Saccharomyces cerevisiae S288C: one gene and its partners. The protein of the gene in region 1 binds, or shares a complex with, the protein of each later gene. Each region holds a gene or a part of one and is shown on either strand. Other genes may lie near its edges. A codon is read from its position in the direction of its gene.

Evidence for each region.
Region 2: the proteins of REV7 (region 1) and POL31 are in contact, whole or in part, in a cryo-EM structure (PDB 7LXD), measured with the Saccharomyces cerevisiae proteins. Residues at the interface, in NP_012127.1 of Saccharomyces cerevisiae: Asp33 (codon at 4,878), Tyr34 (codon at 4,881), Thr35 (codon at 4,884), Thr36 (codon at 4,887), Tyr37 (codon at 4,890), Ser39 (codon at 4,896), Phe40 (codon at 4,899), Asn41 (codon at 4,902), Phe45 (codon at 4,914); in NP_012539.1 of Saccharomyces cerevisiae: Asn224 (codon at 2,458), Thr225 (codon at 2,461), Ser226 (codon at 2,464), Pro227 (codon at 2,467), Leu230 (codon at 2,476), Asn272 (codon at 2,602), Asp274 (codon at 2,608), Glu275 (codon at 2,611), Ile278 (codon at 2,620).
Region 3: the proteins of REV7 (region 1) and POL32 are in contact, whole or in part, in a cryo-EM structure (PDB 7LXD), measured with the Saccharomyces cerevisiae proteins. Residues at the interface, in NP_012127.1 of Saccharomyces cerevisiae: Tyr23 (codon at 4,848), Tyr34 (codon at 4,881), Pro43 (codon at 4,908), Gln44 (codon at 4,911), Phe45 (codon at 4,914), Thr111 (codon at 5,112), Asp115 (codon at 5,124), Arg118 (codon at 5,133), Ser119 (codon at 5,136), Asn122 (codon at 5,145), Ser123 (codon at 5,148), Ile125 (codon at 5,154), Met126 (codon at 5,157), Glu129 (codon at 5,166), Lys130 (codon at 5,169), Val203 (codon at 5,388); in NP_012577.1 of Saccharomyces cerevisiae: Phe14 (codon at 1,742), Thr15 (codon at 1,745), Glu16 (codon at 1,748), Val17 (codon at 1,751), Lys18 (codon at 1,754), Lys51 (codon at 1,853), Pro90 (codon at 1,970), Met91 (codon at 1,973), Asp92 (codon at 1,976), Ile95 (codon at 1,985), Pro96 (codon at 1,988), Tyr97 (codon at 1,991), Asp99 (codon at 1,997).

What each region holds. Positions count from the first base shown.
Region 1 is NC_001141.2:85,346-93,497, reverse strand, and holds REV7 (Rev7p), read left to right. Parts: upstream 1-4,781; coding exon 4,782-5,519; downstream 5,520-8,152. Other genes in the region: TMA108 (Tma108p), read left to right, coding at 710-3,550; tropomyosin TPM2, read left to right, coding at 3,783-4,268; AXL2 (Axl2p), read right to left, coding at 5,661-8,132. UniProt on the Saccharomyces cerevisiae protein: Required for DNA damage induced mutagenesis. Involved in DNA repair, mitochondrial DNA repair and translesion synthesis. Has a role in the bypass of abasic (AP) sites.
Region 2 is NC_001142.9:447,414-451,165, forward strand, and holds POL31 (DNA-directed DNA polymerase delta subunit POL31), read left to right. Parts: upstream 1-1,788; coding exon 1,789-3,252; downstream 3,253-3,752. Other genes in the region: APL1 (Apl1p), read left to right, coding at 1-612; LSO1 (Lso1p), read right to left, coding at 1,064-1,345; SUI2 (translation initiation factor eIF2 subunit alpha), read left to right, coding at 3,607-3,752. UniProt on the Saccharomyces cerevisiae protein: DNA polymerase delta (DNA polymerase III) participates in chromosomal DNA replication.
Region 3 is NC_001142.9:515,961-519,215, reverse strand, and holds POL32 (DNA polymerase delta subunit POL32), read left to right. Parts: upstream 1-1,702; coding exon 1,703-2,755; downstream 2,756-3,255. Other genes in the region: VPS55 (Vps55p), read left to right, coding at 31-453; NUP85 (Nup85p), read right to left, coding at 2,927-3,255. UniProt on the Saccharomyces cerevisiae protein: DNA polymerase delta (DNA polymerase III) participates in chromosomal DNA replication.

The sequences.
Region 1 (8,152 bases):
CTTCAAGGAACTCGACAAAATAAGGGTCAACAAACTCCTCCCTTAACCCACACGGGCCACCGGCGAGCTTGTGCTCCTGCGAATAGCAGTACACTATTGGTTGTTGCAAATCCTGACGATTCACTTTCAAACACCATGCAGGCAGGAGAGTCAAACAAGACTGTTTGCTGTGTTATTGTCACCGCTGATGGTTGTGATGACCACCGCTTACCTATGACGAGGGGCAACGTCTTCACATTTCATGTTTACCACCAATATGCCAATTATTTTAAGAAATCTGCATAACAGAAGGACGCCAGCTGGCCATAGCATTTATAGATTCCTGCATTAATGTAACCGTCCGCACACCGTATGTATCAGCTTGTCAATTATTATATGAAATGTATATATATTTACGAACTTCAATTTTGTCAACATATTTCTGGAACAAGACTGGCTGGAACGGCTCAGCACACACAGGACAGAATATCAAAATTCTCGAGTACTTTGAGAACCCCCTTCAAGTGAGGTACCACCCTTGGTTGTAGTCTTGTATATTAATCCTTCTTTTCTTTAGTATAAATCGATCCTTTCTATTATACAATTCGCCGGTAATTTTTCAGTGAAAAACGAGTTTTGCAGTCAAACCATTCCTGGATGTGCTATACAAAAAAAAGGTCCGAAGACGTGTAAAGGATATATAACGCCAGGTTGATCATCACTAACCATCATGTCTGATAATTTGTTATCTTTAGAGAATCCGGTGGTGCCTAGTCACTATGAGTTGCGTCTAGAAATTGACCCTAAGCAGTCGTCGCCCAATTTCAAAGGATCCGCCATAATCCATTTGAAATTCAATCCGAACTCCACCACCTTAGCTTCTATCGAAGACAGTTTTACCCAGTTCAAGTTACATTCCAAGGATTTGATTGTGTTGTCTGCACATGCCACCATAGGGTCTACTAAGTTTGATCTAAAAATTTCTCAGGACACTGGAAAGCATTTGTCGATTTTCAACTCTGAATCTCCTATTCAATTGTCCAACGATTGCCCTCTGATTTTGTCCGTGCAATACGTGGGTAAAATTCGTGACATAAAAACACATCATGATAAGACTTTTGGTATTTTCAAAACCAATTTTATGGATCGTAAAACCGGTACTGCCAATAATCACGTCGTTGCTACTCACTGCCAACCGTTTTCCGCTAGCAATATTTTCCCATGTATTGACGAGCCTTCAAACAAGTCCACTTTTCAATTGAACATTGCAACGGATGCACAATATAAAGCCGTTTCCAATACTCCTGTAGAGATGGTCGAAGCTTTGGATAGTTCTCAAAAACATTTGGTGAAATTTGCCAAGACACCTTTGATGACTACTTCCGTATTTGGTTTTTCTATTGGTGATTTAGAATTTTTGAAAACGGAAATCAAGTTGGAAGGTGATAGGACTATTCCCGTTTCAATTTATGCACCTTGGGATATTGCTAATGCAGCTTTCACTTTAGATACAGTCCAGAAATATCTACCTTTGTTGGAATCCTATTTTAAATGTCCATACCCTCTGCCAAAGTTAGATTTCGTCCTACTACCATATTTAAGTGACATGGCAATGGAGAACTTTGGTATGATCACCATCCAACTAAACCACCTGCTCATACCACCAAATGCCTTGGCCAATGAAACCGTCAGAGAGCAAGCACAGCAACTCATTGTCCACGAACTCGTTCATCAATGGATGGGCAACTACATATCTTTTGACTCGTGGGAATCTCTTTGGTTTAATGAGTCTTTCGCTACTTGGTTAGCTTGCCACATACTAGAACAGAATGGTGACCTATCCCATTATTGGACCTCGGAACCTTATTTACTACAGCAAGTGGAGCCGACCATGTGCAGAGATGCAGCTGACGTTAATGGAAGAAGCATATTTCAGATTGCGCAACGGAACACTGGCATAGATTCTCAAACCTCCGATATTTTTGATCCTGAGGCATACACAAAGGGTATTATCATGCTGAGGTCCCTGCAATTGGCTACAGGCGAATCTCATCTACAAAAGGGCCTGGAAAGTGTATTTGAAGATACTAAAACATTTCATGCGAGAAGCGTCAAACCAATGGATATATGGAATCATATCGGAAAATTTTTGAAGTCTCAAAATATTACAAACTTTGTTTCATCTTGGACAAGAACGCCAGGCTTACCTGTCGTTAAGGTCGAAGTAGAAGAGAAAGACGGGAAAACGCAAACAAAATTGACTCAACACAGATTTATCAATCAATTATCTACTGAAGAAAAGGATCAGTTAGAAGATGTCCCATATCAGGTACCCTTATTCGGGGTTCTGCCAGATGGTAAAATGGATACTAAAAATGTACTATTGACGGATAGGACCTTAAAGTTCGATTATCCTATCTTAGTAATTAACCATTTAGCCCAAGGTTATTACCGCGTTTCATATGAGTCCGAAGAGTGCTATGCATTGATTAATGATAAAATAACTGAGGAGACGTTATCCGAGATTGACCTTCGGAAGATTTTCTTAGACTTGTCGCAGTTTATTGGAGATGAGGGTTTCCAGAATTCTATTCATTTGCACGGTCTCTTTAAGATACTAAACCATATCGCTTCTCCTTCCACAAAGATTGCATCAAAATATTGGGATCCTCTTTCCAAGGGGTTGGAAGTTCTGCAAACGATCGATCGTGCCAGTTTAACGAGCTCTAAATTACAATCTTTCTTAAAGAAAAAAATTGTCATTCCCCTTTTCAATAAGATTGATTGGCCCCACGGTGAATTTGATAAAAGCACAAACCCTCACGAGTTGAAAGTCATGTCTCAAGTCTTGTTTTTAAATAAAAACTCCGCAAAATGTGCTGAATTGTGTCAAATTTATTTTAAACATCTATTACAGGGCCCACGTTCGAGCGTACCGTTAGAATTAGTGAACTCAATCCTTGTCGTCGTATCGCAACATTGTGCAAACATCAAGCAGTGGAAGAAAATATTCGATTTGGTGAAACGCAGTTCCTGTACTGGTATCACAAACCATGTCATTAATATGTATGACCAAAACAGTAGCGAAACCGCCATGTTGATTCAAAACGGTGCAATAGAATCTCTTGGATTCTGTTTAGATTCTGATATCGTGAAAAAAACTTTGAATTTTATCACTTCCAATATTGAGTCAGAGGGGATGGAACTGGCATTATTCGGATTTAATTACAACTTTAAGAAGAGGCTGAACAAAAACGAGAAACCTCAAGACCAAGTCGTTCGTGAAACGATCTGGGAGTGGTATATGGGCAATTTTGACCAATGGGCACGGAAGGCTACAAGGAAAGGTACCACCACGGGGGATCATCTACACAAGGCGTTAAGGAGTATTTCCCTGATAATCTTTCAAATGTTTGTAGCAGACGAGCCACAGAAGATAGAAAAGTTTATTAATTTGGAGAAAGAGAAGTTGGGTCAAAGCTTGTTATCTTTGGACGACATCTGGGCCTCTGTCCAGCAAGATGAAGAGTCCAGAAAGACTATAAGAAGAGACTTGGCCTCCTTGGTCTGATTTTTTACAAGTATTTCAACACACTATCGTACGTAGATTTAGTAGTCTTCTAAAATAGTACTATAAACGATGTTCTCTTAGCAGAATTCGAGTTATTATTGTCATATACTACGAAAAACCTGTAGATTCAACAATAATAGGTTGGTATAAAAGAATGTAAACATAAGGAATATTAATCTAGTAATTTTTTTCTCATGAGGTTGAGAAAGCATCTAAAATAGCAATTAGCAAAATGGAGAAGATCAAAGAGAAATTGAATAGCTTAAAATTAGAATCTGAGTCATGGCAAGAAAAATATGAGGAGCTGAGAGAACAGCTCAAAGAATTAGAGCAATCTAACACTGAAAAAGAAAACGAGATTAAATCTTTGTCCGCTAAAAACGAGCAACTCGACAGTGAAGTGGAGAAGTTAGAGAGTCAATTGTCTGATACAAAGCAATTGGCTGAAGACTCCAATAACTTGAGATCTAATAATGAGAACTACACCAAGAAAAACCAGGATCTAGAACAACAGCTAGAAGACAGTGAAGCCAAACTGAAGGAAGCAATGGATAAACTGAAAGAGGCCGATTTGAACTCTGAGCAAATGGGTAGAAGGATCGTTGCTTTGGAAGAAGAAAGAGATGAATGGGAAAAGAAGTGCGAAGAATTCCAAAGCAAATATGAAGAAGCTCAAAAAGAATTGGACGAAATTGCTAATTCATTGGAAAATTTATGATTCCCATTGATAAGACTAAAATTACGGAAGATACAAACGACAAACGCGCTAAAGGCAACGGAGGTGATGATTTTATTATTGCTCACACAACTGATGTTGCTGACAGATGGCAAATCCTTTTCATTTTAGTTATTATCATTGGGTGCTTTTTGGAAAAAAGATGAACTAAGCCTCTCTTTATTTCGTCCATTTTATTCTAGCTTTTACATTATGCTTTCACCTTTACCAAAAAATAGTATGTATTTCTTTTCCCCTTGCTATAAATCAAAAGTACGTAGAAACATAAACAGGCGAGAAATACATATGCATATACGTCTACACTACTAATTTAATTTCCACTTTCTTAATATCAGTCAATCGAAACCACTAGCTTTCACACTAAGACTAGACCCTGTTTAACTAATATAAACTTTTCCAGAAAGCTAAAAAAAAGGTCGGAAAAAGAAGGTATACGTTTTTGCGACGACTGAGATCCAAGAAGAAAAAAAAAATAGTAATCGTTGCGTCAGCTTTATGAATAGATGGGTAGAGAAGTGGCTGAGGGTATACTTAAAATGCTACATTAATTTGATTTTATTTTATAGAAATGTATACCCACCTCAGTCATTCGACTACACTACTTACCAGTCATTCAACTTGCCGCAGTTCGTTCCCATTAATAGGCATCCTGCTTTAATTGACTATATAGAAGAACTTATACTGGATGTTCTTTCTAAATTAACGCACGTTTACAGATTTTCCATCTGCATTATTAATAAAAAGAACGATTTATGCATTGAAAAATACGTTTTAGATTTTAGTGAATTACAACATGTGGATAAAGACGATCAGATCATTACGGAAACTGAAGTGTTCGACGAATTCCGATCTTCCTTAAATAGTTTGATTATGCATTTGGAGAAATTACCTAAAGTCAACGATGACACAATAACATTTGAAGCAGTTATTAATGCGATCGAATTGGAACTAGGACATAAGTTGGACAGAAACAGGAGGGTCGATAGTTTGGAGGAAAAAGCAGAAATTGAAAGGGATTCAAACTGGGTTAAATGTCAAGAAGATGAAAATTTACCAGACAATAATGGTTTTCAACCTCCTAAAATAAAACTCACTTCTTTAGTCGGTTCTGACGTGGGGCCTTTGATTATTCATCAGTTTAGTGAAAAATTAATCAGCGGTGACGACAAAATTTTGAATGGAGTGTATTCTCAATATGAAGAGGGCGAGAGCATTTTTGGATCTTTGTTTTAAGTGCAAAAATGAAATTTGAAGAATGGAATTAAAATTAAATGTCTCTAAGTATAAAAACTAAATAAAATATAGGGTATCTGTAAACCACTAATAAAAAATAAAACAGGAAAATAAAATTAAGCAAAATATCGTTGCGTATAATCACAGCATTTCTGGGATGCGTCCGTGAATGTCCTTAACTTGACCAACATTGACATTACTCTTATTTGAAAAATCTACTAACCTTTTCTTACTTGGTCTTCTGTCTGGTTCCATGCTATGGACCCAGCAAAAATTTTCACCATCTTTAACCGGAACAAAATCGTCAGAAGATGAAGTTGACATTGTTGTGGGAGTGATTCCGTTTTTACCGCTTTGAGAGTCTTGAATATTTTGTAAGTGGCGGTTACGATGCTTCGTTACGTTATATGGTGATGGTGTTACTGATTTTCTTACGGGAGAAGGGCTAATATTGCTGTTCCAAGGGTCCAGTGAAGACATAGTGACATCCCTTGACGTACGTTTTTCCTTCTCTGGTGCTTCTAAATCGAAAAGTTTTTCTGTATCAACAGTTTTTTGTGATCCGTAACTGTCTCTGACAATATCAGAGACTGGTGACAGGTTGCCAGTATATCGCCAGGATTTATTTACTGCTGGTTCACTATCCATATACACAGAAGAAGACCTATTCTGTGGGTCAAAGAACGGGCTCTCTGGAGGCTGTACTGGGGGTTTTGCTAATAATTCTTCTTTACTTTGGGATTGGAACTGATCATTGTATGTATTCATACCTGATAGAGAATCTCTCTTTTCATCCACGCTGGAAATATCAGATTCAGTGGCAGAGTGGTTATCCAATTTCAAAGTGTTCAAAGCAGCCAATCTTCTTGCTATTGAAGTATCATCGTACGAGGAAGCATCATCATCAAAGGGGTTGTTCAAAGGTGTAGCGTTTTCTTGATTTGGTTTATTTGCAGGATTATTCAAATCAGGTCCACTAATAGCATGCGGTAAGTTTTCATCGTCTGGATTTTCCCTTCTGCGTCTCCAGAATATTAGGAAGCAAATGAGAGCTACTAGGATAACGCCTAATGGGATAGCAACACCGCACGCAATTGCTACTGCTTTTTTATTGTGAGATGAAGTTTTATTGGCTGCTGGCAGCGCTGCTGGAGCAGAAGAAGTAGCAGCAGCGGAGGTAGAAGAAATTTTTGCAGTGTAAGTAGAAGATGTGTAAGAACTTGTTGAGGTGGAGTGGTGAGAACTTCTTGTGGACGTTGCATTCGCACTGTGGTTTGAGTGAGTTATCTTTGAATCCATGCCAATGATGTTAAAATATAGCTCTTGAGATTGTGAACCTTGGTTCGCTTTCAAACCTAATGAAAGCTTGTCGAAATTCTTGGGCACTTCTCCAGCTAATGTTAAATTAGATGATTGGAATTTCACCCAGTCATGGTCTTGGCTTGAATTAGTAAACTCTAATGAAACGTTTGTATTCACGTAGTCTGTAAACTGAGAAGGCAAAAAATAGTAGGAGAACCATTCACCCCTTGTAGCGTTAATATTGGGAAGAGAACTAATGGCAAACAAATCCGTTGTGGAGACAACTTCGAAGTTGAAATAAATCACATCACCATAAGTATCATAAATGGACACAGAAAAATTGGCAGGATTGGAGTTCTTACCGAGTAATTCATCTGGGACAGACCCGGAAATGGTAGCATTATCTAATGCCACCCAGTCTGGAGCATCCAATAAGTTTATAGAACCCAATTTATCAGAAGAAATAGGATCGTCATCGAGATAAACATAGTTTAGAGGTAAGTCATATGAAACGTTACCTGTGTCAGTAACGTTGATTATCAAACTATTTTGAATAGAGGTAGTTAACTGGTGAGCCCCGATGACTAATTCGAATTCTACCTCAACGGCAGAAAATCCTTCAATGTCTGTAGCGATGATGACAAAACTGTAGCTTGTTTCTGGAGCAATCGCCGAGTTTATCACCGGTGCCGTCCCAGTAAACTTCAACTCGCCAGAATCGAAGAACAGCCAATTGGGTAACGGCGCATTATACAACTGAGAACGTCCGTAATACGACACAATGGATTCTTCGTTAGTGAACATTGAACGGTCAAAAGTCACGTTGAAGACTTCATTAGGATCTAGTTTCAGAGCGTTTTTGCCGTTAGTATAACCATAGTTTTTTAACAACGCCAATAGATTGAAATCTGACGATAGCGAGATGGATGGACGGTTTGTAACAACAAATTGGTATGTATTGTTCAAAGACGTGCTGTCGGCAGAGTCCGTACCCTCGAGTATTACATTGAAATACAACGTGGTGTTCGCATCAGATAGTAAGTCAGAAGAAGGTTCACCTGAGAACGTTCTAGAACTAGAGTCAAACGAAAGCCAGCTCGGTAAGTCGAAGCAATTGTATGTTATTTGAGCTGTCTTGTCTACAGACGATTTATAGGTATCATTGGAAATTTGAAATGTAAACGATTCATTGACTCTTGCCACTGGGGGGTATTGTTTTCCGATAGGATATGCCTCATAGGGCGTGGCCACTACTAGATGGAGTAGTGATATAGTAGCTGTCAGCAATAATGAAATCTGAAGCTGTGTCATGGTAAGTGAATGCTTCTTGA
Region 2 (3,752 bases), on another chromosome or scaffold:
ATAAAATTCTTCATCAGAAGTCCTACAAAGGAAACTGAAGAACTTTGTATGGATTTATTAAAAGGATGCATCGATCACGAAAATAATCCTGACTTAAGAGATAAAACACTGATGTATTGGAGATTGCTGTCATTAACGAAAACGTCTCGTATATCAAACGCGATAACTTTTGAATCTTTAAAATCAGTACTGGACGGAGAGTTGCCACTAATAGAAATGAACACGAAATTAGATCCCACCGTTTTGGAGGAATTGGAGCTAAACATTGGTACAATAGTATCGATTTACTTAAAACCTGTTTCTCATATCTTTAGATTGAATAAAACCAAACTGCTACCACAAAGTCCTATTTTGAATCCAAACAAAGACCTCTTGCCAGTTGTAGGTAACTCATTTCCTCCAACTGGAGCTAATAGGGACCGTCAAAATTCAGAAAGCCAGTCCTCGACGAAGTCCAGAAAGACTGCTATGATGGATGATTATGATAAGCCCGCTGAAAAAATTAATCAGTTGAAAGGTAAGCGTAAATCTAGTTCAAACAACCCCTCAAAACTATCACGGAAACCCTCAACTTTATTAAGAAAACTCTCTATGAAACGGCCCTTTTCGTGACTGCAAATGATACTAATTCCTGTATTTAAATATACTCATATTTAACGAACAATTATGATGAATGAAAAAACCTGATATAATAGACTTAACTAAGCGATCATAAAAAAATTCAAAAAGTTATTTTATAAAACAATTCAGATGTTAAACTAAAGAGTTAATGTAATATATATACAATGAACTGCGTCATAAATTCCCATAGTTCAGCTCATGGGACATTATCTACTTATAAAGACGTGGCTTGGCAGCATTTCATATATAAGGCTACTGAATGTAAATTTTTCTTCCATTGTCTTTCCCGTGTCCCGAGAACTCAATTCAAGCACTGTTCTTGGGCGTAATAAACCTTCCGGTACTACTAAAATCAGACAAAGGCAGGAAGCCTCGATTTGACCTTTTAACGGGTAAAGCTCTAAAAGTTGCTCTCTGCTCCATATTCTCGTTTTCCGTCATTTCAGTATCTTTTTCCCCTGCCTCCCTTACCTAAAGCTTCCTCTTCGGCGGCTAGTAATTGGTCTCTTTCCTTTTTGGCTCTTAGCTTCTCTGTCTTTTTTTGTTCCATAATCAGCTTCTTCTGGTTAGGGGTTCTCGCACCTTCTTCCCACCTCTGAGCTTCTTGAGCTTCTAGTTGTTGTTTCTCTAGTTGGTCCTTTTCGTAAGCTTGCCTACGTTTTCTTGCTCTTCCTGCTGCCACTTTTTTGGCAGTTTCTGAGTATCTCTTGCCAGTATTATGCATGTTCGCTTCTTCACTATGTTTGGTGGTTTCTAATGACAACTATGCGGTTAGCAAACTTCCAAAAGGCGGTTAATAATACGACTACACATTATCCTATATATATATATATATGTACGCAAGTGCTTAGATTGGAAAAAAGGGTGCAACATTCTCGATTGTTCTATTTCAGCCTGTTGATATCAATCTGTCGTTCAATGCTTTGTGGGTGTGCTTTACCCACTCTTATACAGTAGTTAAGTGGCAAAAAGGGTGTCAAAGGGAAAGGAAAACCAGAGGAAAAGCAAAATAGCCGCCAATACTAACTCTAGATTTATATCATGTTATACGATTAATCAGACGCGTCTGATTAATTTCAAAAGTTAAAATATAAACTATTTTTGAAATCCCATTGCAATAAGCGAACTATAGCTGAATCTTTCCTGCAAAAATGGAAGTGAAGGGCAATGGACGCATTGTTAACAAAGTTCAACGAGGATAGAAGTCTCCAAGATGAAAACTTGTCCCAACCACGAACGAGAGTAAGAATTGTTGACGACAATCTTTACAACAAATCGAATCCATTCCAACTATGCTATAAAAAACGTGACTACGGTTCTCAGTACTACCACATTTATCAATACCGTCTAAAGACTTTCAGAGAACGCGTCTTAAAAGAATGTGACAAGAGATGGGATGCGGGCTTTACCTTGAATGGCCAATTAGTTCTAAAAAAGGACAAAGTGTTAGATATTCAGGGAAACCAACCATGTTGGTGCGTAGGATCCATATATTGCGAGATGAAATATAAACCAAACGTACTGGACGAAGTGATCAATGATACATATGGTGCACCAGATTTAACTAAAAGTTATACTGATAAAGAGGGTGGTTCTGATGAAATTATGCTCGAAGATGAAAGTGGGAGAGTGCTTCTAGTGGGAGATTTTATTCGGTCTACACCCTTCATCACGGGTGTTGTTGTAGGTATACTGGGTATGGAAGCTGAAGCCGGGACATTTCAAGTTTTAGACATATGCTACCCCACTCCTTTACCACAAAATCCTTTCCCTGCACCAATTGCTACCTGCCCCACCAGGGGAAAAATTGCTCTTGTTTCTGGGTTAAACCTCAATAATACATCACCTGATAGGCTATTGAGATTGGAGATTTTGAGAGAATTTTTGATGGGGAGAATCAATAACAAAATTGACGACATTTCTCTAATTGGTAGATTACTGATATGCGGCAACTCTGTTGACTTCGACATTAAAAGCGTGAACAAAGACGAATTGATGATTTCTCTAACTGAGTTCAGTAAATTTCTACACAACATTTTGCCATCTATATCTGTTGATATTATGCCCGGAACCAATGATCCAAGTGACAAATCTCTACCGCAACAGCCTTTCCACAAATCATTGTTTGATAAGTCCCTAGAATCATACTTCAACGGTTCTAACAAAGAAATTTTGAATTTAGTGACCAACCCATATGAGTTTAGCTATAATGGCGTAGACGTTCTAGCCGTTTCAGGCAAAAATATCAATGATATTTGTAAATACGTAATACCATCAAATGATAACGGAGAAAGTGAAAACAAGGTCGAGGAGGGCGAGAGTAATGATTTCAAAGACGATATAGAGCATCGCCTGGACCTTATGGAATGTACAATGAAATGGCAAAACATCGCGCCCACCGCACCTGATACCTTATGGTGTTATCCGTACACTGATAAGGATCCATTTGTATTGGATAAGTGGCCCCACGTTTACATTGTGGCAAACCAGCCATATTTTGGAACAAGAGTAGTGGAAATAGGTGGTAAGAACATAAAGATAATATCTGTCCCTGAATTCAGTTCTACTGGGATGATAATATTACTGGATTTGGAAACGTTAGAAGCAGAGACGGTCAAGATTGACATTTAAATAAAACAAGGAATAATTTCCACATAGATATGCAATTAAGTTTTATATGTAAAAGTGAGCATTCATCGTTCAGCTCAAAATACGTTTCTTGTCACAGCTGGTAGAAAAACTATGAGCGTTTTTTCTTACCCGCAGTCGGAGAAAAATTTTTTCTTCGAAGAGGCGAAAAAGAGAAGAAGAGAAAGCACAAATCTGATGAAATAGTAGTATAAAATCGCATTTACAAATTTTCAACCATTGTTTATTTCCTAGGTCATTAAAGAGTAAAGTGCAATCTGTTTACTAATCAGTTTTTGTCTTCATATTTTTGTGTCTTTTCTGCTGCCTCACGCACCTTCTATAATACACCAAATAATGTCCACTTCTCATTGCAGATTTTATGAAAACAAATACCCAGAAATTGACGATATCGTCATGGTTAACGTCCAGCAGATTGCTGAAATGGGTGCTTATGTTAAATTGTTAGAATATGACAACATTGAAGGTATGATTCTACTAAG
Region 3 (3,255 bases), on another chromosome or scaffold:
GAATCTTAATACATAAAATCCCAGACGGTTATGATGGAATTCAAAGTGTCACCATTGACAAAGATTATTTCTCTGTCAGGATTCCTCGCATTGGGATTCCTTTTGGTCATACTAAGCTGCGCATTATTCCATAATTACTACCCACTATTCGATATTTTGATCTTTTTGCTTGCCCCAATACCAAACACAATTTTCAATGCAGGAAATAAATATCACACATCTGACTTCATGTCCGATTCATCAAACACTGGCCAAGATCTGGCTCACTTCCTTACAGGAATGCTGGTGACAAGCGGTATAGCACTCCCTGTTGTTTTCTATCATTGCCAATTGATTGGCCATTTGAGTTGTATCATGTGCATGATCGGTGGTCTTATCATATATTCTAGTATTGTTATTTTTAAATGGTTTTTCAAAAAAGATTTCAACGAAGATGATTCCCTTTTTGGTTAATATATAACAATTACTCATCCCCTCAACAGACTAAGCCAACTGGGTGCGTGAACCGTACATTGATATTATATAGTATGATACTCTACTCAAGGTGGGAAATCTGGCGTCGATTTCTCCTTTTTTTTAGAACTACTTAAATATAATAGATTACATAAAATTACTTTCTGTCTTTCTTCCATTTCAAGTTTTCAAACAAAAAATGCCAAGAAATTCGTGTCTTTAGCCTCTAGTTGACAGAATAATGTAGATAGGCAAAGTTGGCTGAATACATCCGTAATTTCGGGATAAGGATTGGCATTGAATCGCCACATGTCTATAATCTTATTTGAATCGATCTATGAGCGGAAACGTTGAGCAATGGTCGTACAACCATTCTGTGCCGCAATATACCTCATGAAAAGAGATGGGATTGCAAACCTTGAGAAATTAGTCTCTAGTAGGATAATGTATTGTACATTTGTTTGATTCCGCAGTTTTTATAGTGGCTTGAGATTTGTATTTCAACTAGATATGTTGAAAATATCCTCGTAGCGAATGTGGACATAGTGATAACAACAATGTCTTTGTCTTCTACACAAAGGTAAAGGTGTATAAAGCTTTACACACAATAAAGACGACACATAACAAATTATGCAACTGCGCTGCTATTGTAGGATAGCGTCCGATATTATCAATTCTTGCTTTTCAGCTTCTATTATATCTGATGACTAGTTCTCAATCTTTACGTCATCTTCCTATGGCATATTTTGTAATGTGCTAGTGACATGAATACTACTATGGATTATAGTAGGATTTCATTCTAACACAGCTCAGTGTGCAAGTTGTTTTTAATTTTACAATATGAATCTTTATTAAGTCTAAAATATTCATAAAAGTTAAGCGCCGTGGCGCAGTGGAAGCGCGCAGGGCTCATAACCCTGATGTCCTCGGATCGAAACCGAGCGGCGCTAAGCTTAATTTTTATATTTTTATCGTTTCACCTTATGAAAATTCTCGATCAGTATGCCTCAATATAGAACACTTCATTAATGGAAGTACCTTAATAAGGTTATACTAACGAATAGGTCTATTTTCCACTACGGTGTAACTTTCCGACGGAAGTAGTAAACGCGTATGAGTTAAACACGCGAAACTCTTAATTTTGAAAAGTACGCAGAAGTTCGTTACATCGCAATCAGATCAGCTCGAAATAATATTTCACATTAACTAACAACCAGAAATAGGCTTTAGTTAACTCAATCGGTAATTAATGGATCAAAAGGCGTCATATTTTATCAATGAGAAGCTCTTCACTGAGGTAAAGCCCGTCCTTTTTACGGATCTAATTCACCACTTGAAGATCGGCCCATCCATGGCCAAGAAATTAATGTTTGACTATTACAAACAGACCACCAATGCCAAATACAACTGCGTAGTGATATGCTGCTACAAAGATCAAACTATTAAAATTATTCATGATCTTTCCAACATTCCACAGCAAGATTCAATAATTGATTGTTTCATCTATGCCTTCAATCCCATGGACAGCTTCATACCATATTACGACATTATCGATCAAAAGGATTGTTTAACCATTAAAAATTCATACGAACTTAAAGTTTCTGAATCATCGAAAATTATAGAGAGGACTAAGACGTTAGAAGAGAAATCTAAACCTTTGGTAAGGCCTACAGCAAGATCAAAGACCACGCCAGAAGAAACAACCGGAAGGAAATCCAAATCTAAAGACATGGGTCTCAGGTCTACTGCACTGCTGGCTAAGATGAAAAAGGATAGAGATGACAAGGAAACCTCTAGACAAAATGAGTTACGTAAAAGGAAAGAGGAGAACTTGCAAAAAATAAATAAACAGAACCCTGAAAGAGAAGCTCAAATGAAAGAGTTAAATAATCTTTTTGTCGAAGATGACTTAGATACAGAGGAAGTAAATGGAGGGTCCAAGCCCAACTCACCTAAAGAAACTGACAGCAACGATAAGGACAAAAACAACGATGATTTAGAAGACTTGTTGGAAACGACAGCAGAAGATTCACTTATGGATGTACCTAAAATACAGCAAACAAAGCCTTCTGAAACAGAACATTCAAAGGAACCTAAATCTGAAGAAGAGCCCTCCTCTTTTATTGATGAGGATGGATATATTGTGACAAAGAGACCCGCAACTTCAACACCACCACGCAAGCCATCACCCGTGGTAAAAAGGGCATTGTCGTCTTCAAAAAAGCAAGAAACGCCGTCATCGAATAAAAGGTTAAAAAAGCAAGGAACATTGGAAAGCTTTTTCAAAAGAAAGGCAAAATAATCTTCTTTTTTTTCCAAACACTTTCCATTACTAATTGTGATGTAATGTATAATACAAATGTCAACTTACGTGATAGAAAAATAGATCAATATAAATATATATTGTTGTTTAAATTTACTTATTTTCGTCATATATCCTAATATACCATCCGAAGGACATTACTATACTGATTTACATGAACGCTTGACATAATTTGAAATTTAGTTTCTTTCTTAAATTTTTCAAAAGTGTTGCCATGCTACTAGGTAAGCTTTTATCTGCTTCAATAATGGTTTCATATAAGTTTGAACTTTTTTCATCAGCGTCATCCCATTTAGTTTCTATAACTTCAATGACTGTCGCCACTGAATCTTCATCCATTAGCTTCTTATCATCTAAAAGGAAAATTGGGTACAGGAATTTCGCCACAAGCAAAACCAAGTAATGTTTTGGTAAATAAGGGAATTCAATCAGCAAAAGCAATAGGCGCAGCGCTTGGCCCCAATCTTCTCTGTCCCTCA